Struthio camelus: one gene and its partners. The protein of the gene in region 3 interacts with the protein of the main gene of each other region in a pairwise test. Links are inferred from orthologs where the notes say so. Each region holds a gene or a part of one and is shown on either strand. Other genes may lie near its edges.

The links. The genes of interacting proteins can lie anywhere in the genome.
Region 1: the proteins of BAG6 (region 3) and RNF126 interact in binary tests that used the Homo sapiens proteins (3 or more experiments, as listed by UniProt). The link is inferred for Struthio camelus from reciprocal best matches to the Homo sapiens genes BAG6 and RNF126.
Region 2: the proteins of BAG6 (region 3) and TAC1 interact in a two-hybrid assay, tested with the Homo sapiens proteins (2 studies listed by BioGRID and IntAct). The link is inferred for Struthio camelus from reciprocal best matches to the Homo sapiens genes BAG6 and TAC1.

The regions. Positions count from the first base shown.
Region 1 is NC_090967.1:7,560,775-7,570,860, forward strand, and holds the start of RNF126 (E3 ubiquitin-protein ligase RNF126), read left to right. Parts: upstream 1-6,012; 5' UTR 6,013-6,155; coding exon 6,156-6,230; intron 6,231-10,086. UniProt on the Homo sapiens protein: E3 ubiquitin-protein ligase that mediates ubiquitination oF target proteins. Depending on the associated E2 ligase, mediates 'Lys-27'-, 'Lys-29'-, 'Lys-48'- and/or 'Lys-63'-linked polyubiquitination of substrates.
Region 2 is NC_090943.1:29,672,068-29,682,574, reverse strand, and holds the start of TAC1 (protachykinin-1), read right to left. Parts: upstream 4,075-10,507; 5' UTR 3,935-4,074; intron 3,907-3,934; exon of another isoform or gene 3,860-3,906; intron 3,176-3,859; exon of another isoform or gene 3,124-3,175; 5' UTR 3,088-3,123; coding exon 2,965-3,087; intron 2,618-2,964; coding exon 2,521-2,617; intron 1,883-2,520; coding exon 1,859-1,882; intron 179-1,858; coding exon 125-178; intron 1-124. UniProt on the Homo sapiens protein: Tachykinins are active peptides which excite neurons, evoke behavioral responses, are potent vasodilators and secretagogues, and contract (directly or indirectly) many smooth muscles.
Region 3 is NC_090977.1:57,695-68,068, forward strand, and holds the start of BAG6 (large proline-rich protein BAG6), read right to left. Parts: upstream 4,170-10,374; 5' UTR 4,045-4,169; intron 2,501-4,044; 5' UTR 2,479-2,500; coding exon 2,404-2,478; intron 2,320-2,403; coding exon 2,202-2,319; intron 1,358-2,201; coding exon 1,167-1,357; intron 1,047-1,166; coding exon 993-1,046; intron 892-992; coding exon 593-891; intron 499-592; coding exon 369-498; intron 1-368. Other genes in the region: spliceosome RNA helicase DDX39B, read right to left, coding at 7,291-7,307, 7,386-7,533, 7,617-7,761, 7,844-7,953, 8,878-9,009. UniProt on the Homo sapiens protein: ATP-independent molecular chaperone preventing the aggregation of misfolded and hydrophobic patches-containing proteins.

The DNA.
Region 1 (10,086 bases), on a different chromosome or scaffold from region 3:
GCCCGCGTCCGTGCGCGCGCGGGGAGCAGGGGCGGCGTGCCACGCGACCCAGGGCCGAGGACAACGCTTCCGGCACGTCCGCTCCCCCGTCCCGCAGGAGCAGGATGCTGCCAGCGCCCGCGGGGAAGACGCAGCAGCCGTCAGCCCTGCGCCCAGCATCTCGGCCGCGCTCAGCCTTGCTTAGCGTAACCGACCCCGCGGCGGGGACGGGGCGCTGCGGCCGCTGCCGGGCTCCCTCCGGCCCTCGCAGCTCCCCCTTCGCCCGGCGACGGGCCGCCGGCGCGGACGGGCTCCATCCCGCGTGACACACGCTCCGGAGCCGCTCTCGCCGGCACGCCGTGCCGTGTAAACAAGCCGTGACTCAGCGGCCGGGCCGGCCCTGTGGTTTTCCCAGCGTAAACGCTTCTTCCGCCGCGGTGCAAGGCGAGGACCAAACCAAGCCTCCAGGGAAGAGCTGGCAGCTCCGTAAAACGCAACGAAATCGTGTGGGGCTGAACTGGAGGAGCCGAAAGTCGGCAAAGCCTCCCCGGTCGGTAAAGCGGCCCTAGCTGCGCGGAGCGGCTGCCAAGAGGCAGGGGAAGGCTGCGCCCGCTGCCCGGCTCCGCTGCTCTCGGGCACCCTGGCCGGGACGGCGGAGCAGGGCCGCGGCGGCTCCCTCCCGGCCGCCGCCTGGGCCCCCCCTGCCGAGGGGGGTCTTCTCCGGAGCTGCTGCCGGGGCGCCCCGGGCCGCCCCTGCCCGCCGGGCTGCAGCAGCGACGCGGGGCCGGTGGCCGAGGACCACGGCGGGACGGGCTCCGGCCGGCGGAGCCCCACCTCCCAGCGCACAACAACCTGCAAGAGGGACGTTTCGGCTACGAGCAGCGCCGCCGCCGACCGCCGCCTCGGCCGGGCCAGCCTGGCGGGGCCGGGGCGTCCCGCTCCCTCGGGGACCGGGTCCCCGGTGTGGGCACCGACGGGCAGAGCTGCCGCACGGCACCTCCCTCCCGCAGAGCCCCCGGCCGCCTGGCCAGCGCCCTTTCCGCACAAGGAGCCTCAGTGCTTACATAGCCCAGGCTTGCAGCTAGTAGAAAAACAAAACATGTTTTTCACATTAAAATTTCCCTTGAAAAACAATGGTTTAAATTAAGCGTAAGAAAAGAAAAGTGAGGAATCCAAAAAGCAACAACAACAACAACAAAAAAAAAAGGGAAATTTTTGGTGGAGCCCAAAAGCACTTTCCTGGGACCGAGAACTTCTCCCGCCGAGGCCCCGCGCTCCGGGCGCTCCCGGAGGCAGGCGGGCTGCCGCCGGCGTGGTGCGGACCGCGGCCGAGCGCCACCGCCGTCCCCGCCGCAGCAGCCCGCACGCGCGGCCCCAGGCCTGCGGCACGGCAGCGCAGCGCCGGGGAGGACGAGGTGGGGGGGTGCAAACCTTCTCATCTGTCTGCGAGCGAATTCAAAGGGAGACCGATTCAAATCCGCCGTGACATGACTGGCTCGGGGCTGGCAGACAATCCCTGCGGCGTGTGTAACAAACCTTGCCGCTTTCCTTTGAGTGGCCTCCAATTTATTAATTAAAATAGGCAATTATGTGCTATCTGGGGTGGAGGGGAGCGGGGAGACCAGCTGCACCAGTTATTCCCACTCGGCAGGAAGCGTGCTGGAAAGGCGCTCGTGCTTTCAAGGACCGGGAGGCAGAGCCTGGGAGGGAGCCCGCGCGCAGAGCTGCCCTCGCGTCCGCCTCGGGCCGGCGCGACGGGCCGGCAGAGGGGGGTTAATGCCTGGCATCACTTTAATTTAACAGCACAGGGCCCAGAGGCCAAGACGCCTCAGAAAACGACTTGCCAAAGTCGCATGGGAGGTTAGTAGCAGAGACGGAAACCGAACCCCAAAAAGTCTCCCGGGAATCTGCCGAGAGCGTTCGCTGCCCTCGGCCCCGGGAAGCAGGGATGAGGGAGGCTGGAAGCGGGAAGCCAGGTCTTTTTTAGGCTCTTGCTGCCCATCCATCCCACCGTGCTCACTGAGAGGGAACGTGAGCAAGAGACCCCGGGCTCCGGCAGAGCAGGGCGAGCGCAGCGCAGACAGGGAGGGAGCGCCACGGGGAACACGTCTGTGCAGTGTGATGTCTATGTGGAATAACATCTGCATGTCTGGGATTTATCTAAACACTGCAGATCTCATGTCAGCAAATCTAGGAGTCAGGAGAATTTATCCCGAGCTTTTGTTACTCCCTGCAGGGCACGCTTGCATGGGGAAGGCCCCGGCGATGGGGCTCCGCTGCCTGCTAACCACCTCCGCATAACGTAAACGGGACCCCACGCAGCTGGCAGGGCACCGCGGCGCTGGGCCGGCGCCACGGGGCGCGCCTGGCCGCACGGCGCTCCGGCTTCCCCGTCGCAGTGGGCGCTCGGGGCGCGCATGCACGCACACGCAGGGCCCCGCCGGCGGCCACCCGGCAGCTGCAGCCCGGGGCCCGCAGCCACCCCCCGCCAGCGGCCTGGCACGGTGGCATCGCCTGCATTAAGTAACGTCTGGGGACATGAGCTCATCGTTAACACCCACGGCCCGGGTGGATGCGAGTGGCAAGGGCGGCTGGCGGGCAGGAGCGGGGCCCCGGGAACGCGCTGCCGGCGAGGCGCTCCCTGCCCCGGGGCGGGCGGGCGCCGGGGGTCTTGGACGGCTCCCACGTGAAACTCCCGCCCGCTCCCCTCCTCCTGCCGGGGCTGGGAGATGCACCGGGTTGCCCAGCTTTGCTGCAACGCGGGCTCCCGCTCCGGCCAGCCTCTGCCCCCAGCCTCAGCCACCCACGGGCTCCTCTCCCTGAGCCCGGTCATGGGGCACAAGCATCGCCCTCCTGCGCTGGGGTCAAGCGGGATCATGACGCCCAGCTACCGGAGAAGCCTTTCAGCCCGTCCAGCCCCTTGGACAACGACAGGCTCCTGGTATTTTCTGCTGCCCTCGGCCAAAACCCTCCCTCCTTCCCCGCTGCTGTGGCTGAGCGGTGCTGGCGCTGCCGGCCCGGCTGCTGGGGGAGCAGGCTCTGCCTGGCGATGAATCGCTGCTAGCTCGGGAGGTGTCACCTCTTCGTCAGTCCTTTCTGAACAGGGTGCAGTTCGCGTCTTTCTGCAGCACCGTGGGAAAATCATCCCAGCCCCTGGCTTCTTCGGGTGACTCAAATTTGCTCCCGATCAGATCCAGGCTCCCTCTGAGCCTGGGCAGGCCGTGGAGAGCCGAGCACCAGCCCAAAACCCGATTCCCAGAGCTGCGGCAGAGACAGAGGTGCGTCCGCCCCAGGCGCGCCGTCGCGGATCAGCCTCGAGTCCCGCCGTGGAGCGGGATCGCAGGTGCCGCGAGAGCCCTCGTCTCCACGTGCGTTAGCGATCGCTGCCATTTGCATCCGAGCGCACGCGCTGCCCTTCGGGCGTCCGCACTTCCCGCGTCAGGGAATTCCACAGGGACAAAGTCAGGGAAGCCAGATCTCTCCCTCCTCATTCCACATCCATTTGATCAAGTGGCAACTTGTCTTCAGACCATGAAACAGAGCAAGGAGAAACGAGTGCAGTGCACGGCCTCAGCGTCAGAGGGAACTTCCTTCGGGGTGTGAAACGCTCCCTCTGGGGCTGTGGGCTCCGCTCTGCGGGCAGCCGCGCGGCTCCGTCTGGCTTTCGGATTGAACCACGTCCAACTGTCTAGACCCACCTCCTGCAGAAAAAAAGAGTTGCAGATTTCCTCATTGGTCACAAATCGTTGCTAACATTTCTTATCAACAGCTGCATCATTGATCAGTTACTAAACAACTGCAAATCTGTCCTGCAGTTGAAATTTCTACACAATTACTAAACAGCTCCAGAAACTGCTGACCAGTTACCAAGCCGTTATACGACCATTTCCTATCAGTAGCCAGGTTAAAGCTTCATAACCCCAGCCCTTGCTTCTTGTTTTTACACCTGTACTTATCGATGTGGAGCGAGTAAACCCGCAGAAGAGGGTTTTCCTGGGCTTTGCTTTTCAGAGTCCAGAGTTGCTTCACAAAACGCCTCCTCAGCCTGCTCTCATCCCCTAAAAAAAAAAGCAAGAAAAGCAAACCTGGGCCGAAGATGCCATCTGCTGGAAGCAGGGCTGGTGCAGTGGGTTGGCGGGCATCCTGCAACCCCGCAACCTTGCAACCCCCAAAACTCTGCAACCCCACCACCTTGCAAACCCCCAAACCCTGCAACCCTGCAAACCCCACATCCCTGCAACCCCACAACCTCACAGACCACATTGGCCCCACCAAAGCGAGCACGTGTCGCAGTGCTTGCACTGCCCAAGGGTTTTCTGGATCCCTGGTTTATTGCTTAGACAGGGGCCCCAAGAAAGGCAGCCAAGGAAGAAACAATCCCCCAAAATAAAACTTCACTTTTCAGCTTTCCTGAAACATCTTCAGCTCTTGCCAATCCCTTGGCAAAAGCAAGGTGGAGATCTGATAGGAAGCACCATTTGAGAGATCTTTAGTGAAATGGAAAATTCATGCCCTGTTTTGGTTATTGCTATTTTTTTAAGCAATTCTTGAATTTTCACTGAAAAAACATTTATTTCTTCATTTTGGGGATTGCAACCTCTCCCCTCCCGGAAGTGAGGCCACTGAGCTTGGCCGCTCTGTGAAGACCCAGCCCTCTTCCCTCTCCTAGAAAGAGCCATTCCAGTGTCATGTTACAGCATGCCAGACAGGCAATGTTGGGGGAAACTCGCTTCAGAGCTGCCCCAGAAATATTTTGGGGTTTATCGGTTAAAGAAACAGGGATCTGAGTATGCAATTAATATTTCTTTCCTCCTTCTGCGAAGAATACTTGGCACAAGGGACTCCCGAGCCCAAGAGACACAGACCAAGAGGGACAAGCTCTTCCTCGCAGGGACCCGATGCACAGCAACCGCTCGATAAATTGTCTTTGCAAAACATCAGTAACTGCAGCATGACATTTTCCTCCCTGAGCTTCCTGACCCCAGGCGCTGGCCATCGCTCAAATGGCAGCACCGGATTCAGTTTCAGGCCAGCATCTGCCATTTCCATGGAAACGGAAAAGCAGACGGGTGAAAGCGGACAAACAGGCTGGAACCGACGCTCCGTGCGGCCAGGACCCGGCACCCTCGCCAGGACACCCGTCGCTGGCACGGCGTGGGATTTGCACCTGCTCCGGCTGGGAAGCCGGGCGGAAAGGGCGTCCGGCACAGAGCACGCCGGTGCGCGCCGCTGGCAGCCTCGTTGCGTGCGTGCTGATCCTGCCACAACCGGGCTGCGAGGGGCATGGAAAAACCAGGCAACTGCCCAGAGCGCTCCGACTCTACCCAGGCAAGATCCCCCCGGGAGGAGAGGGCGAGGAACGCGCAGGGAGAGCCGGGGCTCGGCGACGCCGGACTGCCCTCGGCTGCGCAGTCACGCGCCAGGCGCCGCGGCCTTCCCTGGGAAGCTTCGGAGGCCGCTTTATCTCCCGGGTGACTCCACGAAGTCGGGCAGAGCTTCACGCCCCGGGCGCCAGCGCCTTCCCGCGCCAGCGAGGGCGACGGCCCAAGCGGTCCCCGAATGGATTGAGCAAGCTCGGCCTGCCTGCAAACCTCGCCCCGAAACGGGGCTCGAGCCGGAGCGCCCCGCGGCCGGCAGGTCCCGGCCCGCCTGCCCCCTCCCCTCGGAGGGCCCCGGGCAGCGGCTCCAGGCCCCGCGGCCTACCAGGTGGGACCGGGCCTGGCCCCCATGGGAGGCCGAGGGAGGGGGGCCCCCGACCCCCATGGGGTGGGGGGCAGCCCCAGACCCACACCACGGTGCACAGGGACCCCACCAGGGCCCCACTGCCATGAGAACTTGGGGGGGGGGGGGCGCGCGCTATGGGGCACCACCAGCAACAGGCCCCACACGCACAGAAAATGGCGACGGCACACAGCCCACCCCCGGGCCCGCCCCTTATATACCCCCACTGACCCCGCCCCCAGACAGCCCCGCCCATCGCCCCAGCCCCGCCCCTCCTCCACGCCACGCCTCCCCGGAGCGGCTCCCCCCTCCCTTCCCCCCGCTGCCCTCCCCCGCCCCTTCTTTTCCGCGTTTCCCTCTGCGTGGGCCCTTTGCGTCCCTGCTCGGCCGCCGTCGCCTGCGCCGTGCGTCACCGGGCGGGGCGGGGCGGGGCGGCGCGGGGGGGGGGTGGGAAGATGGCGGAGGCTTCCCCGCAGCCGGGACGGTTCTTCTGTCACTGCTGCTCGGCCGAGATCGCCCCGCGCCTGCCCGTGAGTGGGGACGGGGGCCTGGCCGAGGCCGGCGCGGCGCTGGGGGGCCGGGACCGGGCTGGGGGCGAGGGCTGGGCACGGGCCCGGCCGTTCGGGCACGTGGGGGTGAGGCCTGAGGGGGCGGGGGGCGGCTTGGGGAGGGGCTGGGCCCGCGGGGCGGGGGGGGGTCCTGCGTGTGAGAGGACGAGGGGGCTCCGAGGGGGCGGGGGGGTCAGGGGTGGGGGTCTGTTTGTGAGGGGGGCTCGGGTGGGCGTTCAGAGGGGGTGGGAGCTCAGGAGGGGGGTCTGTGTGGGGGGGGCTCAGGGGTGAGGGTTCAGAGGGGGTGGGAGCTCAGGAGGGGGTCTGTGTGTGAGGGGTCTCAGGGGTGGGGGTTCAGGGGGGGAGCTCAGGAGGGGGTCTGTGTGTGGGGGGGCTCAGGGGTGGGGGTTCAGAGGGGGTGGGAGCTCAGGAGGGGGGTCTGTGTGTGGGGGGTCTCAGGGGTGGGGGTTCAGGGGGGGAGCTCAGGAGGGGGGTCTGTGTGTGAGGGGTCTCAGGGGTGGGGGTTCAGAGGAGATGGGAGCTCAGGAGGGGGGTCTGTGTGTGGGGGGGCTCAGGGGTGGGGGTTCAGAGGGGGTGGGAGCACAGGAGGGGGTCTATGTGAGGGGGGCTCAGGGGTGGGGGTTCAGAGGGAGTGGGAGCTCAGGAGGGGGTCTGTGTGTGGGGGGTCTCGGGGTGGGGGTTCAGAGGGTGTGGGAGCTCAGGAGGGGGTCTGTGTGTGAGGGGTCTCAGGGGTGAGGGTTCAGAGGGGGTGGGAGCACAGGAGGGGGTCTATGTGAGGGGGGCTCAGGGGTGGGGGTTCAGAGGGAGTGGGAGCTCAGGAGGGGGTCTGTGTGTGGGGGGTCTCGGGGTGGGGGTTCAGAGGGTGTGGGAGCTCAGGAGGGGGTCTGTGTGTGAGGGGTCTCAGGGGTGAGGGTTCAGAGGGGGTGGGAGCTCAGGAGGGGGGTCTGTGTGTGAGGGGTCTCAGGGGTGGGGGTTCAGAGGGTGTGGGAGCTCAGGAGGGGGTCTGTGTGTGGGGGGTCTCGGGTGAGGGTTCAGAGGGAGTGGGAGCTCAGGAGGGAGTCTGTGTGGGGGGGGTCTCAGGGGTGGGGGTTCGGGGGGGAGCTCAGGAGGGGGGTCTGTGTGTGAGGGGTCTCAGGGGTGGGGGTTCAGAGGGGGTGGGAGCTCAGGAGGGGGGTCTGTGTGTGGGGGGTCTCGGGGTGAGGATTCAGAGGGGGTGGGAGCTCAGGAGGGGGTCTGTGTGTGAGGGGGGCTCAGGGGTGAGGGTTCAGAGGGGGTGGGAGCTCAGGAGGGGGGTCTGTGTGTGCAGGGGCTTGGGTGGGGTAGGGGTTATGGGGCAGGGGTTCAGAGAGTTTGGGGGGCTCTGAGTGTGAGGGGGACTTGGGGTGGTGGCTCTGGTGCGTAGTCCTCAGCGAGGGAAGAGGGGAGCCCCGGAGTGAGGCAAGATGAGGCATGTGGCAGTTAGGGAACAGGACGGAGTTGGGAGGAGGCTGTGGGGGGCTGCCTGGAGGTAGCAGGGGGCTGTGGGGCCCCCTCGGGCCAAAGAAAAGCAGCTGGTGAAGCCAGAGACGGGGTGTGCTGGAGGAGCGCGGGGAAGCACGGCAGTGGGTGTCCTCTTCCTCTTCCTGATGTAGAGGAAGGTGGCGCGGAGGTTCCTAGGCAGCAGGGAGGTCTGGATGGAGAGAGCGGGAAGGGCTTTGCAGGGAGCAGGGCAGTGGGGTGGTGGGTGCTGCTGGGGGGGGTCCCACCAGGCCTGTTTGTTGGGGGGCTGCGGTGTTTTACTTAGTGTGTGCTGTAAAGATATCTGTTATAAAGAGAGATGGACTAACCAAAAGCTGTCTTAAAGCAAATTTGGTAGGATGCTCTCCTGAGGTAATCCCTTCTAGCAGCCTTTCCCCATCCAAGTCCATGGGCCTTTCTCATCCAGTGCATCTCCAACTGCCTGAAAGGGTTGTCTTTGGGACAATTCTCCAAACTACGAAAACACCATTATCCCACTTCTTTGTGTGGAATGAACTGAATCTCTGTGGGATAATGGGAGGGTTTCTTTTTTTGTCATCTTTTCAGTATGGTTTAAACATGAGAAAAGCTTCGTGGGTGATAATTGCTAAGACACAGGAGTGGGCAAATACACAAGTGATACGTACACGGTATTTGCACTAACTAACGCAGAAGCATTCGTAGGCTAGGAGCAGTACTTGAACAGGTGTGCTTTAATCACTGAGTCAAAACCTTGCTGCCTACTGGTAAAGACTCAGATTTTCCTGGTAAGTGTAGAAAAGGAACACTGGCTGTTGGAAAGTAACTGATTGTGTTGATCATGACTAGATTTTCTGTTGCTAGTCTAACAAATGTTGTAAGATGTTAAATCTGATTATGAAGTTAACAAGCCCTGCCTTTGTTTATACAGAGTCTTTATTTGTCCTGAGAAATTTGTTGGCACCTTATTAGAATAAAGAATAACTCTTTTTTCTATTTTAACATTTATTTCATTTTTAAAGTCAAGCGATAGCTTAACTGTGAGTTAAAGATGTCTCTCTGATGGAATGATTGATTAGCCTTCACTGTGAATTTGTTTTTGTGACATGATATTTTTCCTTTCGCCTCCTTGATCAGTTTTACTGGTTAGGGTGAAGGCAGGCCTTGATAGTAACAACTTGTATTTACCATCTACCAACATCTAACACGTTGTATTTAAGTATGAGGACAAAACTGTTAATATGCTCCTGCTAAATAAATAGACTGGCTTGAGAAAGTGACTGAGGAGCTGAAGCCTGAATCCCAGGAACACTGGTCACTTATCTGTGTTTAAACACCCTCTCTTATTTCACCCTTGTTTAAACACCGTGCTGGTTACACCAGCAGAGCACATCTGGTAGCAAATGTACTGAACTGTGTTAGGGAGCAGACAACTTTTGTTGTAGACTCAGGTTTAGTTAATTGATAGTCAATGAACTTGTTTAGGATCCAAGTTAGTTTGGTTTCCTCCTGCTGACTGCAGACTGAGTTACTAAATTGGCGGTGTCATGGCATATGCTGCAGAAGAAGTGATTCAAACAGTCTGAGAAACAGCAAACTTTGACATTTGTGCTGTTCCAGCTGCAAAAGAATTTGCTGATCACTATGTTCAGAGTTGTCTGTAAGCAAAAAAAGTCTCCCTTACATAGGAGAGTTGAGAGGAGTAAATCACTTCTTTCTCTCAAGTGTGGCTAGCATAATAATTTGTCCCAGTGGTGTGCTGCTAAAATGTTCAGTAAAATAGTAAGGGCTTATTTCAAAAGCAGAGGAAATTGATTTCACTTTCTGTAATCTACACAGCTGTTCTTGTGTGCCAATAGCCATCTCTGAGAGGAGTTTGGATGGTGTAGAAATGTTCTTGAAATCAAACATTGTGTAAATTCTGTAGACCTAGTTATTTCACAACCGCAGATCTAAAGAGTTCTGCGTGGAAGAGGGAGTGGCAGCTTCCATAAGTCCTTTTCTAGGACGAATAACTGGATGGTGCTCTGCTAATTCCTTATCTTCCTGGGCAGGCAGGGACAGTATCAAGTGGATCACCAGTGCTGCTGTGCTTTGCTTGGTTCTCATCATTTTTTTCTGCATTGGCTTGAAGAGTGATCCAGATATTTTATCAAAATAAACTCACGTGACTTCCATCCTGTCCTCTTTCCAAGAATCCATTAAGTTTGTTTCAGGGCATATTACAATCTTGAACATAGAAATAGTAAAGGGAACCAGTGTGGTGGTGGTGGGTTGTTTTGGTTTTGTTGTGGTGGTTTTGTTTTTCTTAGAAGCTCTTAAACCTCTATCATACTGAGTT
Region 2 (10,507 bases), on a different chromosome or scaffold from region 3:
TTTCAGAGAACTCTGGGTCTACACCATACAAAGACTGCTTCATCCATCCAGTGGGAGAGAACAAAGAGGCAACAGAATTAAGCTGCTGTATATTACCATGTACCAGATTTAGTCATATACATACCAGAATTTAAAGATCTTTTGCCCATAAGTCCAACAAAGGAGTCTGTTTTATGCCCTGAAAAAATATAATTGGAGTTGTTTTAATACATTTTAAATAGGCAGGCTTTTAAGACAGCGTGTTCTCATGAGGAAAGACGACACAGACACAGCCTGTTCATCTCACATACTAATTTTTCACACCACTCTCAGAAGACAGAGAATGAACAGTCCTGTCTCATCACTGGGGTAGGTCAGACCAAGGCACAGGCCAGTTAGTGGAATTCTTCCCATTGGCTTGAATAGACATTTTGTTGATTTTGTCTTTTAACCACAATAGAAAAACAATGGCCAAAAACTGATTCTCATTCCTCTCCCAGTGTGGCTAATTGACACTACAATTCCTATTGACTTCAGCACACACCTAAGAAGGCCATATCTTAGCATAGCTTGCATCCGTATGATACACCTACTCTACCTGTCGGTGGTTTATTTTGTTATGTGGATGAAAATCCTCATCACAGGCCAGGCAAGAGAGCCCTTATTTGAGAGGAGGCCAATGGGACTCTACGTCTGGACATGACTGAGCTGGACAGTCTGGGTCTATTTTTGGAATATTTACGAGTTCAAATATTACCATCCTGTCCCATTATTACTCCTCGAGGCACTGGTTATGTAGAGGATAAATTACTCCAAGGTTTGGTATGAAGCATGTATCAGATGTAGTGATAGCTAAGGACCAAAAAGGAGCTGTTCTTCTTTTTCCAGGCTGACTTGAGGTAAATTTAGAAATTTCTCTTTGGAAAGAATTTTGCTTGGCTAATGCATCTACAAAACAAGATGAATGATTTTTAGACCTCACAGGCATTAACTTTAGAGCTGAAGCAGTTTAAGAAGGCTATATATATGTGTGTATATATATATATATATTTTTTTTTTTTTTTACTTTAGTCAGCAGTTATTTGGCATGAGCTTTGGCTGGGATTCTCTTTCATTTTCCTTCAAATAAATAATCCTAGTGATAAAATCTAGTGATTAACAGAGAACACTGGGACATGTATTGACCTCTTGGGACAGCTGAGGTCTCACAAAATACAAGATCAATTTTTGCTTATTAAAAAATCTTCTAGGTCCTGTCTAAGCATCTTCAGATAATTTCAGAGAGTAAAACTCTTTGTCACTGTATGCAACAAGATAATACCACGTTGCTGATACCATCTTCCACTTGGTATTATACAGAAACAAAGCAAGACATGCTTATTAATGATGCAAGATATGCGTGTTTATATGTCAATCAGCCTCTGCTGCGATGGGGGTCTGATTCACAGTCAGACATCACTAAGATCACAGCTGCAGTATCTCACATGTGTATCCATGTCATCACTTCTCAGAGATTTGGGAATTCACTATTCTAATTTTCCAGCTTTTGCTGCCTTAATTTTCTCACTCTGAGTCTGGCAGTAAGCCTGCCTTGCCTATGAGAAAGGTTTGCAGAATGCACCCCTAGAGAAATAAGAGCTGCAACATTCACACACTAATGTGGATTGAAATCTGAAAGCTTGTGGAGGTTCAGATTAGGTACAAGCTTAAGTCCTTATTGCTGGCTACTCTATCTTTTGACAGAATACTCCTCTACCGCCTATGCTGCCGGCCCTTAGCTGAACTCATTTATATTCTAAACGATCCACTAAAATATACAATTCTCTATATGAATATCTTTTAATAGTTACTTAAGATGTTGGGGATTTTTTAAACTTACTTTTGTGAGAGATCTGGCCATATCCTGCATGGAAAAGAGGAGGAAAGAAAAAGAAAGGAAAGAGTTATTGAAAAAGGACTGGCATACACATATGCTGTTTCTGTGATCCTTTGAAATATCTAATACAGAAACTACCCTATGCATATTCAATGTAGGGAAAATTAAGGTGACAAATTACCACAGTATTTATTCTTGAATAGACTAGAAAGCCTCATTTCAATTAAAATGACACACCTTAGAGCTGTTTAGATCCAAGTTACTCTGACCGATTCTCAGTTTGGTAAACACTTAGAATTAGAAAAGATGGTGATAATTGTACACAGCATTACATGGCAGAAATCATACTACACGTGCTCAGACAATTTAGTGGCACGTATGCCAACCTACAGATTATTGTGATTTTTTTACTGGTATTTATTTACACGCTACAATTAGTTTGCACTTATAACTTTACTGCGCAGTTTTACTCTTGGCTATTTTCAATCGATCGTATTGTCTTCCAGGAAACTTGGGGTGGGGGAGAATCGCAACTTCGGAGCAAGATCTACCTAACGACGCGGGCGACATGCTATGACGCTGGGGTTGCTACTGGGAAAAGCGACGTTTGGAGCAGCGAGAGGCCGCGCGCAGGGAGGTGCCCCCCAAGCCCGTGCCCCGCTCACCGGCATCCCGTTTGCCCATGAGGCCGAAGAACTGCTGGGGCCGGGGTCTCCGGGCGATCCTCTGCAGGAAGTGCTCGAAGGGCAGCGGCAGCTCCTCCTGCGGGCGACCAGCGGGCGGTGCTCAGCGCAGCCCCGCGCCGACGGGGCGCCCCGCGGGCTGCCCAGCCCCAGCCCCGGCCCCGGCCCCAGCCCCAGCCCCGGCCCCGCGCCGACGGGGCGCCCCGCGGGCTGCCCAGCCCCGGCCCCGGCCCCAGCCCCAGCCCCGGCCCCGCGCCGACGGGGCGCCCCGCGGGCTGCCCAGCCCCGGCCCCGGCCCCAGCCCCAGCCCCGGCCCCGCGCCGACGGGGCGCCCCGCGGGCTGCCCAGCCCCGGCCCCGGCCCCAGCCCCAGCCCCGGCCCCGCGCCGACGGGGCGCCCCGCGGGCTGCCCGGCCCCGGCGCTCACCTTGCCCTGCTCGCCCTCGGACCAGTCGGACCAGTAGTTGAGGTCATCGGTGGCGCCGATCTCCTCGGCCAGCACCTGCGCCGAGGCCAGGAGGAGCACGGCGAAAGCCAGCGGCAGTCTCATCGCCGCCTCGACGTCCTGCGGACGGGCTGCGGCCACCTGCGGATGGGGTTTGGGGGGGGAGGGGGGGCAAGGGGCGAAGCGCCGTCCCCTGCCGGGGGACGGGGGACACGGCGCTCAGGGGCTGCGCGCAGCCCCCGCACACGCACGCACCCACAGCTACGCACGCACCTGGAGGTGCGCACCCTCGCACATGCAGGTATGCACACGCATCTAGCTATACACGCACCCCTTCGCACCGACAGGTACATATGCACCTAGCTGTACACACCCTCACACATACCTATATACATACGCCTCTAGTTATACGCACAGCCGCCCCCTATGCATACATGCACATATAGACGCATGCAGCTCCCCCTCACACCTATGGATCCTTACACATGTCGATATATACACCCTCACGCATAGAGATCCACACCCATCTAGATATGCACACACATCCAGGTTACCCCCCTCCCCGATACCTACTCATCTACTTATGCACACTATACATACAGCGACACCCATACCGGGTGTGCACACCTGCATATGGATACCTCTCTCCACACACGTACGGATACACACACGCCCTCACACGCCCAGATACACGCATCCGTCTAGACAGAGGCACACGCAGACACGCACACAAAGGCACCCTCACACGGAGAGGCGCACGCTCCGGGATACACAAACACACACAGAGGCACCCCCCGACACACACACATATAGGGGCACGCACACGTACAGACCCCCCCACACACATACACACGCATGTGAGTACACCCGCACACACCTTCACCCACCGACACGCGCGCACCCCCCTCCGGCCAAGCGCCCCGGCGGCGCGCACGGGCGCGGGCACACGCACCTAGCGCGGCGGGCGGGGCGGGCGCTGCTCTCCGTGCGCATTGGCCGTCGGCGGGCGAGCGCCCCACTTTATATACCTGGAGACGGGGAGGGCCGAGGGAGCCTCATTTGCCTAAACGCAATTACCCCCGGTTTTATCGTGCCAGCCACGTGACAGCGCCCGCCCCGGCGGGCAACCCCCGCCTCCAGCCCCCCGCTCCCGGGGAGGCGCCGCGGCATCCCGGTCCCGGGGAGGGGAGGGGGGGCGAGGTGTCCCTGCTTCCCCCACCCCCCGCGGTGGCAGCCCGGCTTCGGGGGGGGGGGCCTCCCCCCGCCCCTTCCCCCGCGGTCGCCCCGTCCGGCCGCCGCTGCGCCCTCCCCGCCGCAGCCGCCCCGTCCCCGCCGCGGGCCCCGGCGGGCGGCTGCGGCCGCCGCGTTTCCCTTCTGCCCCCCGCCCCGCTTTGGCTGGGGAAGCGCTGCCCGCTCGCAGGGAGGTGCTGCGGGGGGGGGGGGCGGGGGGCGGGGACGGCAAGTGGCACCGAGCTGCGCCGAGGTGGGGGCGGGAGGGGGGCGCCGCCAGGGAAAGGCGCGGGCGCGGCGGCGGCGGGCTCCGTGTCTCTGGGCGAGCTGTCTTAAGCTTAACCAGGCTTGCTGCCCGCTGCGTGAGGCCAGGAGCCAGCGCTGGCCCGGCTCGCGGGGAAGCTCCGCGTGGCACCGCGGATGAGCGCTGCGAGGCGAGGGGCACCTGGCCTGGTCTGTGCGGCGTTTGGGAGCGTGTGAGGGTGGGACGTGAGGCGGCGAGCACGGAGCCAAGCTCTCTGGTGGGGCAAATGCCTTTCTTGGAAATGAGCCAGTCTCCAGCAGTGAATCACAACCTTTCTTCTTCCCCTGCGACAGCTTTGTGTTATTGCTGGCATTCAGCTCGGATAACCGTTCAGGCACCTTTCCATTTCACACTCGTTCCATCTTATTAGTCCGAGGTTACTTGTGCAGGAAGCTTCTCAGTTGACCTTGGTGGTCCCGCAGCACCTGTGCTGTCAGGGTGCACAGTACTACTCCCTAGGTAAGGCACTTAGTGCAGAGTTTGGCAGGAGCTATTAGCTTTCCTTTGAGAAAGAAGAGATTCCTCAGGAGCTGGAATCAGCTCTCTAGCACCATCCCTCTGCTTGCTCCAGGATGCAACCATTAAGGTGGCCTTGCTGGCCATGGTAAACCTCCACTTCAGGGGTAGTTCATTGGCATATACCTGCTGATCCTATAGGACCCAGCACTTGTTTGCTAGCTAAAGGCATTATTAATTCCAGGTTTCCCTCTTAAACAAAAATGATTCTTGGTCCCCAGTGTATTCCCCAAGAACCAGCCAGGGAGGAGACTCTTCCAGACTCTCGGGGATGTTCACACTTTCTGCTTTAGGACTCTAAAGGCAGGTGAGAAAGGTTGTGGCCCAATCCTTTGAAGACCCTTCTGAAGTCAACACAGGCTCCTCGAGAAGGTGGTTCAGAACAAAATTATTAGTTTGGAGGAGTCTGCCTAGGGGTTCCACACAGCCCAAACACCTAATTTAGGCACCTCTGTTTAGATTCCTAGGGTGGGTGGTGTGAATGCTCCTCTTTATGCCTGTCAACAAGCTGGCAGAAGTGACGTTTAGTAGCACCGGGGAACTTCAGCCATCGGATTTTCGTGCTGTAGCTTTGCAGCATTCCTTTGATATGTGAACTTTGAAGACCCTCGAAGGAAAATTGTTTTCTCGTGTTCTTTCATTACACCATTTCTATTTACCATAATGACGACAAAGCAAAAGGTCAGATATATCAAACTAGGCATGCCAATTTTAGGCAAGTCAATAAAACTCATGATTTACAGAAATACTGAGAACTCCCAGCTTCCTCTGAAGTCAATTCTATCATCCAGGAGTCTAGGCTATGATAAGCATGATAAGTTTGAACTGAAATGTCCTTTTTGCTCCATAATTCAGCATTTTATCAACATGGCTGTAGTCATAGCTTGACCTATGAAATTACAGGGGTTTTCTTTTTAAGAGAGAGCAAGAGAGGAAAAATTAAAAGACGTGTTTCAGTCCTTTCTTGCCTTTAGCAACTTTAATGAATTCAAGCACTTTATCTCAGACTTATCTAATACTTTGGGTGGGAGTAAAAAAATGACTAATCGGGCAAGCTCACTTTTCTTTCTCGGTTTCTAAAATAAATTGACTGCTTAACCTTTCTCTGACCTGCAATAGTGGGACATTACACTATAGACTTTTTGGGAAGTGAGCAGCTTTCATGGCTAACTAGCAAAATTGGTTCTTAAGAAGACTTTCTGAGTCCGTCTTTCACATGGAGAGGAAGTAGCAGGCTCAGATAAGGGAAGTACACCTTGACTCGAAGTGGGTGAACCTTCTGCCTTTGTGCTGCCTAGTTCCTGCCCTGTGGATGCTTCAGAGCATGGTAAAATGCTATCCACACCTGCAAAAAGCCCTCACTTCTGCCAAAAACTGCTCCTGCCTCGCACACAAAAGTAAATGGCTTTTCAGGATGTTAGTGGTTTTGTATCTGGGAGTTACTTTGCAAAGAGGTATATGAGAGAGTGTGTGGGCAAAGGTGTCCCCGTTGAATAAGCTTGCCCTGTCCACACTCAGTGCACAGATCCTGCTCTCCAGTTGCAGTTAAGACTAATATGAAGATTTTTGTTCAGGAGCCGACAGTTCATTAGATCCAAGGTGATCTATGGCAGGGTTAAACGTTTCCTGTGGAAGTGACAGAGAAAGAAGTTTTTGGAGTTATTATCCAGGCGTTTCCCTAATCGAGTTTAGGAACTGGATTAAAGGCACTCGTTGTGGCTTGAATCACAGCCCTAATGGAAAACTATCTGGGAAGCAATTGGCTACGAAACACACCTCAGAGAATTGCTTTTCAGATGGTTTTAAAATGATACAGCCTGTGTGATGGTCCTTGTGAAATGTTTATTTGAATTTTATGATGATTTGGTTTTCAGTAGAAAGTCCAATAGTTTCATGATGAGACACATGGGCTGCTACACCATTATCAAGTGACTCTTATATCATCAACAAACAGCTAATATACTCTGGGAAAATAGCAAATTAAAATGTGACTATGTAAGATTTTGTGAATGCAAATCTGAATTATTCAAGTATATAAAATTTCAGAGCACCAGAGATAAAAAGAATGCATCTGGCATTGTTTGTCAATAGCTCTATGCTGTATAACTGTATGCTAGATAATTAAATATAGAGCCTAATTCTCATATATATTGAGATGTCTTTTCATCCCTTCACCTGGGTAATGGTATCTACATATAACAGAGACTCAGTCTCGGAACAGTTATTTTATATAGCTTCCAAAATTAGAGATGAGACGCAGTCTATGTAAAGACATCTGTAAAAAGACCATGTTTCAGCTCTGATTTCTGTCCTGACAAGAACATTGGAAGTGCTCTTATCAGAAGATGCAACTTTGTCATCATTGGAAAGAGAAACCATGATTGATGACCTCTTAAATTTCTTACAGATATGTGTCTCCGGGGTGAATAGAATGATTTCGATCGCAGATGAGGAGTCTTTGTAACACGGTGATTGATTTTGACATTGTAAGATAATTTATTGGCAAAACATCCCAGTGGCATTAGGAAAATTAGCAGAACTCACAACAACCGTTTCTAAGTTAGCGTGGCCAGATTACTGAATTACTCTTTCACCTGTATTTCAAATTTTACATTACAGATTTGTCAGCTTTAATTTCTTCCTTTAACGTTTCCAGAGCACATGCCTGTACATATTAATGCATGTAAACCATATGTGATAACTATGCCTCTGCCTGTCTCTCTGTCTATCTTTCAATAGAGTGAGAGATTATCTTTGTGCTTGTAAAGTCAGACACTACAGGGTCAATTCTATTACTTGCGGTAACAGACAGACAAGAATCACTGTAGCGAGATCTGCTTGCTACAGGGATGCCCTTTTCTGGGCAGGTACAGATGGAAGAAAGGCTAATCTTGCACTTACTCAGTCATCTCACAGTAACTGGAAATGTAACGTTGGTCATTGGTTCTAATTTCAGAAAGACAAGGTAATAGTCTTCCCCACTCCTCTGTTCCTTGTCATCTTTTACTCTCCCATCACCGTTCTCCATCCTGCCAAGCTGCCAATATCACTTGCATCTGACTTAGAGGGAGCATCATTAACCCTGACGCAAGGCACATTTTTGTCCAGCTAGGTTAGACATTCAGTTTGTTAGTGAGACAACCTGAAATGAAAATAAATTGCAGGGTATTAAAATACTGAATGTAAACATTGCAGTCAAGGCTCTCTTCCCAGACTAGCAGCGCTAGAGGCAATCGACAGAGAGAATAAATGTAGTCCGGCAGAGCTCCTTAGGGGAGAGAGAATGCATGTCCTTGGAGGAGAAAAACATTTACCCTAAGCTATTTGGTGATCTCAGAGAGAGAGCAAAGCCATCCCAAAGCACCTCTATGTGTGCCAGAGCCAGGGGGGAGCTGGTGAGGAGAAGCAGGGAGGGTAGCTCTGGTTGCCCAGGGATGCCTGCTCTTCTCTTCTCAGGGGCTGACCATCTGCCAAAGCCTCTGTAGCATTTGTAGGTTGATATTCATTCAGCCAGAACAAAATCAAAAAGATTTGGACATGCAGCTACTTGGAGATGCCTTGTCATAACTCGCCAAACAGTTTTGATAAGTAGCATGGAAGATGCAGTATTTACTGATTTTTAGTCACAAAGCCAACAGTGAACGACATTTCAACAGCACACTTTAGTAGCAAATGCTGCAGGGTAGTCTCCTCACGGAGACGGTGTCTGTCTCTCTAAACCATCAATCTAGTTTTTCCACATTTGTCTCCCCCAGACAGAAAGGCCAGGGGCAGCCACAAAGTGTGGCACAGAATATTCTCAGAAGCTCAAGCAGACTGTGAACATCATTGGTCTGAGCTCAACCAGAAAAACTGCAACGTGAAATCTCCTCACAATGCAAAGGACTCAGAGCAGCCAACGAGCAGACACTTCAGATTAACTGAGTTCATTGCTCTTGGAAGAAAAGTGCTGACATTGCTTTGTTCTGATGCAAGCAGAGACCCTGTTTGTCTCCTGAATACTTATTAGATTACAAACATATATATAAATCTGTTGATTTGATTCAGATTGAACTTTGCAGGTCTGGAGCTCTCACTCTTTGTTTTTTTGCCTCGGTTGTCTAAGTTTGTTTGAAAACTACAGTGATGTGGAAGGATAACGGGAAGACTGGAACTTACTTTATCAGCAGCTGAAGGCAACAAGCTGATTTTTTATCTAGTCCTACCACATTTTCAGTAAAACTTTTCTGTAGGAAGGACAATCTTTTCTCAGAAAGCCCTCAAAGACTAGGCTTACTAAATTTTGTGGATGGGTCATCAAAGCCAGTCCCTTAGCCTGCTCTCAGCACCCAGGTGATTATCCATTGTATCCTACCATCAGCATCTGCCGTCCTTAGGGCTGCTGCCAGCTGTCTCAGGTCACGGAGACATCAATGTGGAGGAGGACGAAGGGGAGGAGGGTTAACCAGCCCCGGTCCCAGGCCACAACAAATGCAGCAGCTGTTCTTGGTCATCTGGGAAACCACGGGCAGTTTCACTCACTTTCTTCCACCTTTTTCGTCCCTCTAAAGCGTGCCACAGCAACACTGATTTCCTTGGCACAAGGCTGGGTAGCCTTGCCTGCCTCCCTACTTCCAGACCTTCTCCAACAGAGAGTGTAAGGGTTATTTTGCACAGGGGCCTTCTGCTAATCCCCCACAACTTCCAGATGTTCAGTTGCAGCAGGAGAAAGGGATTAATGCTTCCCATGTCTGGTGTGATCTCAGATTAATTGAAACCGATTCTTAATTTGGGATCAAACACGTATGAATCATCCTCTATTTTACTCTGTTTTAGAAACTAGATAATTTAAATGGCTGTATCTTCACTGAATATTAATATTTTTCACAGTAAAACAGGACATTTTAAAAAACAATTTCAAAAATCTGCAGGATAAAAGGCTGATAAAAGCTGGTTTCAGCAAAAAAATTAACTGAATTATAGTCTTACTACATCTACCATTTTTCTACTAGTTATGTTAAACAGCTTTTACAAATCCATAATTACACTCTTTTCTTTCTTTTCTGCATTTGTGCTTCTCACTCCATCTCTCTTCTCCGTCACTTATCTTCAACAGAAGTTCGCCACATCTCCAGAAATCTTTGAAGTCCTCAGCAATTTTGCTTATGGCTTTTCTGCTTCTTATTTACTCAAAATTATTATGAGCCTTCCTTCCAAATCCTCAACCTGTGTTTGAAACATTGTGCAACAACTTGAAAAAGCAGGCTGGCGTTCCCAGAGCAAACATTCCTGTATTTAGCCTTGGATGTAACATTGTGTGTGGTGTGATAAAAGTGAAGTGGAGAAAATGAAATTGCCTGAGGAGGAAATAAGTGGGAGAGCTAAGAAGGTGAGGTGCTCAAATAAAGCAGAAAAAAAAATAGAAAAATGGAGAAAAGAGCAAGGACAGTATGTCATGCTGCTCTGATGATCACTTGATATGAAATATCTATGTCA
Region 3 (10,374 bases):
CCCTGCGTGGTATCGCCCGGAGCCCCCCAAAAGGGACTGAACCCCCCCCAGCCCTGCGTGGTATTGCCTGGAGCCCCCCAAAAGGGACCGAACCCCCCCCCACATGGTATCACCCATCTCCCCCCCCCCCGTCCCCCCTCCCCAGACCGTACCATTTGGGGGGGGGGGGGAACCAAAGTAGACTGTGCCACTGTGGGGACGAAACGGGGGGGACCCACGCTGCACCAACCCCCATAAGGAGACAGGGGGGACCCGGACTGCACCATCCCTGGGATTGGGGGGGGAGGGCGTGCCCAAGGACCGATTGGGACCAGCCCATCGCCCCGGGACGGGGGGGGACGGACGCAGCCCCCCTCCCCGCGGCTCACGTTGTTGTTGTAGTCGGCGGAGCCGGCGGCCCCCAGGATCTCCTGGCAGCGCTGCCGGAAGGGCTCCAGCCGCCCCTCCAGCCGCCGCAGCTCCAGCAGCACCTCCAGGTACTCGCCCGGCGCCGGGTGGCTGCGGGGGGGACGGACACGGGGGCGGGGGGCTGAGAACGGCCCCCCGCGGCGCTCGGGACGGCGGCGGCGTGTCCCCCCCCCCCGCCCCTTACTTGGGGGCGGCCTCGGGGGCCGGCGGCGGCTCGGGGCCGGGCGGCGGCGGCTCGGCGGGCGGCTCGGGCGGCTCGGCGGGCGGCTCGGGGGCGGCGGGGGGCTCCTCGGGCGGCCCCTCGGCGGGCGACGGGGCCCCGCTGCTGCCCTGCGGCGGGGGGGACGCGGTGGTGAGGGGGGGGGGCCGGGGGCTGCGGGGAGGGGGGTTCAGGGGGGGTCCGCTCACCTCCAGGCGGTTCAGGATGCCCTGGATGTCGCGCAGCATGTGCTGGGCCACCACCAGGCGCATGCGGGGCTCGCTCTGCGGGGCGGCCGGGGGTCAGGGGCCGCGGCGGGGGGCCGCGAGAGGGGCTCGGCCCCCCCTCGCCCCGCTGCGGCCCCCCCCCGCCGCCCCGCGCCCACCTGGATCGGGGCCTGGTCCATGTTGATGTGCACGTCCACTGACGAGCCGTCAATCTGCCACCCCCGCGGCGGAATAAATCAGAAAAAAAAACCCCCAAATTAGCAAAAATCAGCGCTGCGACCCCCCCCGTCTGCTAGAAGACCCCCGAAGCCCCCCCGGCGCCCCCGGCTCACCGGCAGGTTGAAGGTCCCCACCATGACGTAGCTGTTGGCGTTGCGGTCGTGGCCGGGGCCGCCCGGCCCCCGGGGGCCCCCCCCGTTGTGGGGGGCCGAGGAGGAGCCCAGCCCCGAGGGGCCCCCCCCCGAGGGCGACTGGGCCTGGGGGGGCGCCCGCTCCACCAGGTGGATCACTTTGCCCCCCACATCTGGGGGAAGAAAGGACGGGGGGGGAGAGGGTCAGCCAAACCCCTGCCCCGCAGCTCCCCACCCCCCCCAAATGCTGCCTGAAGAGCCCCCAACCCCCCCACTAACTCTAAGGCTCCCCAAACCCCCCAAAACTGCCCTCAAACTCCCTCAATGCTGCCCAAGGGTCCCCCAACCCCCCATAAACGACCATCCACCCCCAAACTGCTGCTTAGATGGCTCCTAAACTCTTCTAAATAACCTCAAATCGCTCCTAAGAGCCACCAAACTCCCACAAACTACCCCAATTACCCCCAAAAACTTCTAAGCTCTTGTAAGAAAACTCCAGAACTCCCCCAAGACCCCCAAAACCACGATAAAATGCCCCAACTACCACCCAAGAAGCTCCTGAAGTCCCTAACTAACCCCGCAGCTCTGCAAACCCCCCCAAAACTGCCCTCAAATGACCCCAATGCTGCCCCAGGAGCCCCTAAACCCCCCTAGCTCCCCCCAGCGCTCCCCAAATGCCCCCAAACCCCCTCAAATGCCCCAGCTCCTGCCCAAGGGGCCCCTAAACCCCCCAATTTGCCCCAGGGCTCCCCAAAAACCCCCAAATCCTCTCAAATGCCCCAGCTCCTGCCCAAGGGGCCCCTAAACCCCCCCAACTCTCCCCAGGGCTCCCCAAATACCCCCAAACCCCCTCAAATGCCCCAACCCCTGCCCAAGGGGCCCCTAAACCCCCCAATTCACCCCAGGGCTCCCCAAATACCCCCAAACCCCCTCAAATGCCCCAACCCCTGCCCAAGGGGTCCCCAAACTCAACCCGCCCCCCAGGTGCTGCCCGGCCCCCCCCCGCCGCCCCCTCACTGTATTCCTGCAGCTTCTTGTCGTCCTGCAGCACCCGGCCCTGGTAAATGAGCCGCTGCTTCTCGGCGGGGATGGAGACGGCGGCGGCGATGTGCTCCTTGAACGCCCGCACCGTGATCTGGGGGAGGGCGGCGGCGGCGGGGGGTCACGGGGGGGCCGGGGGGGGGGGCGGGGATGCGGGGACCCCCCGGCTCGGCCTCACCTCCGGCTCCACGTGGAAGCTCCGGGTCTGCGAGTCCAACGTCTTCACCAGCACCTCCAGCCGCTCCTCCGCCATGGCGCCGCCGCAGCGCTGACCCCTGACCCCGGCCCCCGGGGTCAGCCCTCGCCCTGGCCCCCGACCCCCAGCCCCCGACCCCCGGGGTCAGCCCTCGCCCTCACCCCCGACCCCCGGGGTCACCCCTCGCCCTCACCCCTGACCCCCAGCCCCTGACCCCCGGGGTCAGCCCTCGCCCTGGCCCCCGACCCCCGGCCCCTGACCCCCAGGGTCAGCCCTCGCCCTCACCCCCGACCCCCGGCGTCACCCCTCGCCCTCACCCCTGACCCCCGGGGTCACCCCTCGCCCTCACCCCTGACCCCCAGCCCCTGACCCCCGGCGTCACCCCTCGCCCTCACCCCCGACCCCCGGCGTCACCCCTCGCCCTCACCCCTGACCCCCGGGGTCACACCTCGCCCTCACCCCTGACCCCCGGGGTCAGCCCTCGCCCTGGCCCCCGACCCCCGGCCCCCGACCCCCGGGGTCAGCCCTCGCCCTGGCCCCCGACCCCTGACCCCCGGGGTCACCCCTCGCCCTCACCCCCGACCCCCAGCCCCTGACCCCCGGCGTCACCCCTCGCCCTGGCCCCCGACCCCCAGCCCCTGACCCCCGGGGTCACCCCTCGCCCTCACCCCCGACCCCCAGCCCCTGACCCCCGGGGTCACCCCTCGCCCTGGCCCCTGATCCCCAGCCCCTGACCCCCGGGGTCAGCCCTCGCCCTGGCCCCCGACCCCTGACCCCCGGGGTCACCCCTCGCCCTCACCCCCGACCCCCGGCCCCTGACCCCCGGCGTCACCCCTCGCCCTGGCCCCTGATCCCCAGCCCCTGGCCCCCGGGGTCACCCCTCGCCCTCACCCCCGACCCCCAGCCCCTGACCCCCGGCGTCACCCCTCGCCCTGGCCCCTGATCCCCAGCCCCTGGCCCCCGGGGTCAGCCCTCGCCCTGGCCCCCGACCCCCGGCCCCTGACCCCCGGGGTCAGCCCTCGCCCTGGCCCCCGACCCCTGACCCCCGGGGTCAGCCCTCGCCCTCACCCCCGACCCCCGGCCCCTGACCCCCGGGGTCAGCCCTCGCCCTAGCCCCCGACCCCCAGCCCCTGACCCCCGGGGTCAGCCCTCGCCCTGGCCCCCGACCCCCGACCCCTGACCCCCGGGGTCAGCCCTCGCCCTGGCCCCTGATCCCCAGCCCCTGGCCCCCGGGGTCACCCCTCGCCCTCACCCCCGACCCCCGGCCCCTGACCCCCGGGGTCAGCCCTCGCCCTGGCCCCCGACCCCCGGCCCCTGACCCCCGGGGTCACCCCTCACCCTGACCCCTGACCCTTGGGGGTCAGCCCTCACTCTGACCTCTGACCCCCCGACCCCAGAGGTCAACGCTTGCCCTGACCCCCGACCCCGCGACCCCCAGCCTCTGACCCCACCCCGACCCTGACCCCGCCACCCCCACGCTGACCCTCGACCTCTGACCCCGCGGCCTACACCCCACCCCGACCCCTGACCCCCGCGGCCCCGACTCCCACCGCAAACCGGCAGGCCGGCGCTCCTGACCCCCGCCCGCCGCCCCTCACCCCCCGCCGGTCGGCGGCGCCTTGCCTCCGCGGGCAGTCGCTTCCGGCTCGGTGCGCGATCCGCTTCCGGGGCAGGCGGGGGGGGGAGCGGGTCGGCTTCCGGGGGGGCTGGGCGCGCCCTGGGGCGGGCGCGGAGCCGCCGCCGGGGCCGGGCCGGGGCCGCGGGGCCGCGCTCGGTGCGGAGCGGCTCCTCCGTGCGCCTCCGGCCGCGCCGCCCGGCCGCGCTCTGCCGCGCATGCGCGCCGCCGCGCAGGACCCCGCCGCCGCGCCGGGCTGCCCGCGCCGCGCCTGCGCCGCTCAGCAGGCGTCCGCCGCCGCCACCCCAGCCGGGACGGGGGTGGGGGGGGCCTCGCTGCTTCGCGCATGCGCGCTGCGGGTGAGGGAGTGAAGCCGCGGCGGCCGCCATCTTGGCGATTGCGCCCTGGGCAGAGCGGCCATCTTGGCTGAGGGCGCCGCCATCTTGGCTGCGGGCCGGGCCCGTTTCCCGCCCCCTCCCCCGTGTGTTGCGGTAGGCCCGAGCGTAAAGATGGCGCTGGTGCCCCCCCCACCCCGCGGCAGGGCCCATGTTGTGCCCGGGGGGGAGGGGGCAGAGCAGCCGAGGCCCCCGTTGTGTTACAGGAGCACAACCCCCCCGACTGACGGGGCCAGCTCTCACCCAAATCCGTGTTTATTTAAATAAAAACAAAGGAGGGGTCCCGGGGCGGGGGAAGGGGCGCTGCCCCCCGGTTTGAGGAGCCCCGACAATAAACAGGCCGGGGGGCGGGGGTGCCCTCACCCAAGATGGCGGCCGGTAGCGGCGCTGCCCACACCCGACATGGCCACCCCCACCGGTCGGGAAGGGGGACAAAAAAGGCGGGAACCCCCCCCCACCACCTCCGCGCGACCCCCCCTGTTGCTATGTAAACAGAGCATCCCCCGCCCCCCCGTCCGAAAAGAGACACCACCAGGCCGCATCCAGACCCAGAATCAGCTTTATTTGCCCCAATTCCAGCTGCTCCCCTCCCCCCTGCGACACGGGCGCCGTTTGTCCCTCGCAGGCTCCGGGCCGCGGCTGGGGGGGGGGGAAAGAGAAGCGTCAAGGGGGGGGGGAACAAGGGGGTCCCGGGGGGGTAACGGGGGGGGGATGGGGAGGTTCCCAAGGGAGGTAACAGGGGGTCTTGGGGGGGGGGAACAAGGGGGTCCTGGAAGGGGTAATGGGGGCATCCCGGGGGGGGAACAGGGGGGTCCCGGGGGGGGGTAATGGGGGTTAACGGGGGGGTCCCGGGGGGGGGGATGGGGAGGTTCCCAAGGGAGGTAACAGGGGGTCTCGGGGGGGGGGAACAAGGGGGTCCTGGAAGGGGTAATGGGGGCATCCCGGGGGGGAACAGGGGGGTCCCGGGGGGGGTCACCAGGGGGGTAACAGGGGGGAGTAATGGGGGTTAACGGGGGGGTCCCGGGGCCGCCTCGGCTCAGGGCGCTGCGAGGGGTCGTCACGGCGGGATCGGCCTCGGTGCGGGTTCCTCATCGCCGGGGGGCCCCGGGGGGGGCCCGGTTGGGGGGGGGTCACTCACCGCGTCATGCCGGTGCCGACGGGCCTCGGGCTCCTGCGAGACACACGGGGGGGGGGGGAAGGGGGGTGTTAGCGAACGGGAGGGACCCAGGCGTCCGGCGGGGGGGCGGGAGGGAGGGGGCGTCGCTCAGGCTGGGGGGGTCGTCAGGGGGGGTCAGAGACTCTAGTCTGGGGGGATCATCACAGCGACGCCCCGGACCCGCGGGGATCGGGGGGGGGGGGGAATCCTCACCCCATGGCGCAGCCGGGGGGGCCCAGGCGTCCGGGGGCTCCGACCTGCGGGAGGGAGAGAGAGAGGGGTGAACGGGGGGGGGGGGAGGGACTGAGGCGTCCGGGGAGGGGGAGGGACGGAGGGGGCGTCGCTCAGGCTGGGGGGGTCGTCAGGGGGGTCGGAGACTCTAGTCTAGGGGATCATCATGGCGACGCCCCAAGGGGCAGGGGCCCAGGCGTCCCGGCTCCCCCCCCCAACAACGGGGCCCAGGCGTCCTGGCTCCCCCCCCCCACCACAACGGGGCCCAGGCGTCCCGGCTCCCCCCCCCCCCACAACAACGGGGCCCAGGCGTCCCGGCTCCCCGCCCCCCCCAAACAACGGGGCCCAGGCGTCCCGGCTCCCCCCCCCCCCAACAACGGGGCCCAGGCGTCCCGCCCTCCCCCCAAACAACGGGGCCCAGGCGTCCCGGCTCCCCCCCACCACAACAACGGGGCCCAGGCGTCCCGGCTCCCCCCCCCCACCCCCAACAACGGGGCCCAGGCGTCCCGGCTCCCCCCCCCCCACCACAACGGGGCCCAGGCGTCCCGGCTCCCCCCCCCCCCCAACAACGGGGCCAAGGCGTCCCGGCTCCCCCCCCCCCCAACAACGGGGCCCAGGCGTCCGGGCGCCCCCCCTCCACGGGGCCCAGGCGTCCCGGCTCCCCCCCCCCCACCACAACGGGGCCCAGGCGTCCCGGCTCCCCCCCACCCCCAACAGCGGGGCCCAGGCGTCCGGGCGCCCCCCACCTGCCCGCGGCTCCCCGGCGTCCGGCGGGAAGAGGCCGCGCGCCGCCCCCGCGGGGCCCTTTATAGCGGCGGCGCCGAGGCCCCGCCCCCTCGGCCCGCCCGCCTCAAAGATGGCGGCGCTGCCCGCGCGCAAGATGGCCGCCGCGGCTTCGCTCCCCGCCCGCCTGCGCGGACCCCGCCTCCCTCAGCCCCGCCCCCTCCCGCGACCCCGCCCCCACCGCAACCCCCGCCCTGCTAAGCCCCGCCCCGCCGGCCCCGCCCCTCCCGCGGCCCCGCCCCCGAGGCAGACAGCGGCGTCCAGGGACCCGGCGAGGCCGGGCGACTTTATTACCAAAAAAACCAGAAATTGTACAGCTGAGGGGAGCCCGGGGGGGAGGGGCCCTCCGGAGCCCCCGCCCCCCGCCGAGCTCGGGCTTTTTCTCTTTTTTTTTGTCTTTTCAGGCCTTTTTTCTATAAAACCCCCCGGGTCCGGGCGGGGGAGGCGCCGCGGGGAGGCGGCGGCAGCCGTGGGGGGGGGCGGCTGGCGGGGCGGGGCCTCCCCGCTTCCTCTTGCGTCCGGGCGGCGGCGGTTTCGGGGGCCCCCTCCCGGCCAGGGCGGCGGTTTCGGGGGCCCCCCTCCGGGCAGGCGTCGGCGGTTTCGGGGGCTCCCTCGGCAGCCGGACGGTCGGAAGAGGGGAGGAACGAGGAGACGCGAACCGGGCGGGAGGGCGGCGGGCGCCGGGCAGCTTATCGGGTCTGCTCGACTGGAGGGGGGGGAGAGCGGGGTGAGGGCGGCCCCGGCCCGGCCCCCCGCCCGGCCCCCCGCCCGGCCCCCCGCTCACTGTAGGAGGAGATGTCGATCTCGTCGGGCAGCTCGCTGATGTTCACCTCGAAGCGGTCCTGCACGTCGTTGAGGATCTTGGCGTCGTTCTCGTCCGACACGAAGGTGATGGCCAAGCCCTTGGTGCCGAAGCGCCCGGCCCGGGCCACCTGCGCGACGGGAGGCGGCGCCGCCGTCAGCCCCCCGCCCGGCCCGGCCCCCCGCCCGGCCCCCGCCCGGCCCCGGCACCCACCCGGTGCAGGTAGGTGTCCGAGTCCTCGGGCATGTCGTAGTTGAAGGCGATGTTGACCCGCTCGATGTCCATCCCCCGCCCGAAGAGGTTGGTGGCCACCAGGATGCGGCGCTGGAAGTCCTTGAACTGCTGGTACCGCGAGAGCCTGGGGGGGACGGGGCGGGGGGTGTCAGGGAGGCCGGGCCCCCCCCCGGGCCCCCCCCGGCCCCCCCGGCCCCCCGGCGCACCGCTCCTCCTGGGGCATGCCGCGGTGGATGGCGATGGCCGGGAAGTTCTGCTCCACCAGCAGCTGCGCCAGGGCGATGCAGCGCTGCACCGACTTCACGAAGATCACCACCTGCGGGGGGCGGGCGGGGGGTCACTTGGGGGTCCCGGACGCCGGGGCCCGTCCCCAGAGACGGCCCCCCCCCCCCCCCCGCGGACCTCGGGGTCCCCCCCAGCCTGACACCCCTCCTGGACTCCCAGACCCCTTCCCAGGGCCCCGAAACCCTCCTCAGACGCCCGGGTCCCTCCCTGGAGCCCCCCGAGACCCCCCTGGACATCGGGACCCGTCCCTGGAGCCCCCCAACCCACCCCTGGACACCGAGGTCCCTCCCTGGAGCCCCCCAAGACCCCCCTGGACACCGAGGTCCCTCCCTGGAGCCCCCCTGAGACCCCCCTGGACATCGGGACCCCTCTCTGGAGCCCCCCGAGACCCCCCTGGACATCAGGACCCCTCCCTGGAGCCCCCCGAGACCCCCCCGGACATCACGGTCCCTCCCTGGAGACCCCCGAGACCCCCCTGGACATCGGGACCCCTCTCTGGAGCCCCCGAGACCCCCCTGGACATCACAGTCTCTCTCTGGAGCCCCCCGAAACTCTCCAGGACACCCTGGGGTCCCTTCTTGAAGCCCCTGAAGATCCCTCACGCTCTGCAGTCCCCCCCGGAGTCCCCCCAGCCCCTGACACCCCTCCTGGACCCCAGCACCCCTTCCTGGAGCCCCGAAACCCTCCTCAGACGCCCGGGTCCCTCCTTGGAGACCCCCAACCTGCCCATGGACATCAGGACCCCTCCCTGGACCCCCCCGAGACCCCCCCGGACGTCACTGTCTCTCTCTGGAGCCCCCCCAGACTCTCCAGGACACCCTGGGGTCCCTTCCTGAAGCCCCTGAAGCTCTCTCAGGCTCCGCGGTCCCCCCAGAGCCCCCCGAGATGCTCCAGGGTCCTTCCCCGGAGCCCCCCGGGCGCGGGGTCCCTCCCCGGAGCCCCCCGGCCGCGGCACCTGGTTGAACTCGAGGACGTCGAGCAGGTCGAAGAGCTTGCGGTTCTTCTCGTTGTCCTTGAGCTTGACGTAGTACTGCTGCAGCCCGTGCAGCGTCAGCTTGGTCTCGTCGTCCACGAAGATCTCCATGGGCTGGGGGGAGAGCGGGCTGAGCGCCCCGCCGGCCGGCCGGGCCCCCCGCCGCGCCCCCACCGGGGCCTGCCCCACACCCGCGCCCCGGGACAGCGCTGCCCCACACCTGCGCCCCGCTGCACTCTGTGACACCGCTGACCCACAGCTACGCCCCGCTGCACTCTGGGACAGCGCTGACCCACAGCTACGTCCCGCTGCACTCTGGGACAGCGCTGACCCACAGCTACGTCCCGCTGCACTCTGGGACACCGCTGACCCACAGCTACGTCCCGCTGCACTCTGGGACAGCGCTGACCCACAGCTGCGCCCCGCTGCACTCTGGGACAGCACTGACCCACAGCTACGTCCCGCTGCACCCTGGGACAGCGCTGACCCACAGCTACGTCCCGCTGCACTCTGGGACAGCGCTGACCCACAGCTACGTCCCGCTGCACTCTGGGACAGCACTGACCCACAGCTACGTCCCGCTGCACTCTGGGACAGCGCTGACCCACAGCTACGTCCCGCTGCACTCTGGGACAGCGCTGACCCACAGCTACGTCCCGCTGCACTCTGGGACAGCACTGACCCACAGCTACGTCCCGCTGCACTCTGGGACAGCACTGACCCACAGCTACGTCCCGCTGCACTCTGGGACACCACTGACCCACAGCTACGTCCCGCTGCACCCTGGGACACCACTGACCCACAGCTACGTCCCGCTGCACCCTGGGACAGCACTGACCCACAGCTACGTCCCGCTGCACTCTGGGACACCGCTGACCCACAGCTACGTCCCGCTGCACTCTGGGACAGCGCTGACCCACACCTGCGCCCCGCTGCACTCTGGGACACCACTGACCCACAGCTACGTCCCGCTGCACTCTGGGACAGCACTGACCCACAGCTACGTCCCGCTGCACTCTGGGACACCACTGACCCACAGCTACGTCCCGCTGCACCCTGGGACACCACTGACCCACAGCTACGTCCCGCTGCACTCTGGGACACCACTGACCCACAGCTACGTCCCGCTGCACTCTGGGACACCACTGACCCACAGCTACGTCCCGCTGCACTCTGGGACACCACTGACCCACAGCTACGTCCCGCTGCACTCTGGGACACCACTGACCCACACCTGCGCCCCGCTGCACCCTGGGACAGCGCTGCCCCACACCTGCGCCCCGCTGCACCCTGGGACAGCGCTGACCCACAGCTGCGCCCCGCTGCACTCTGGGACAGCGCTGACCCACAGCTACGTCCCGCTGCACTCTGGGACACCACTGACCCACAGCTACGTCCCGCTGCACTCTGGGACACCGCTGACCCACAGCTACGTCCCGCTGCACTCTGGGACACCGCTGACCCACAGCTACGTCCCGC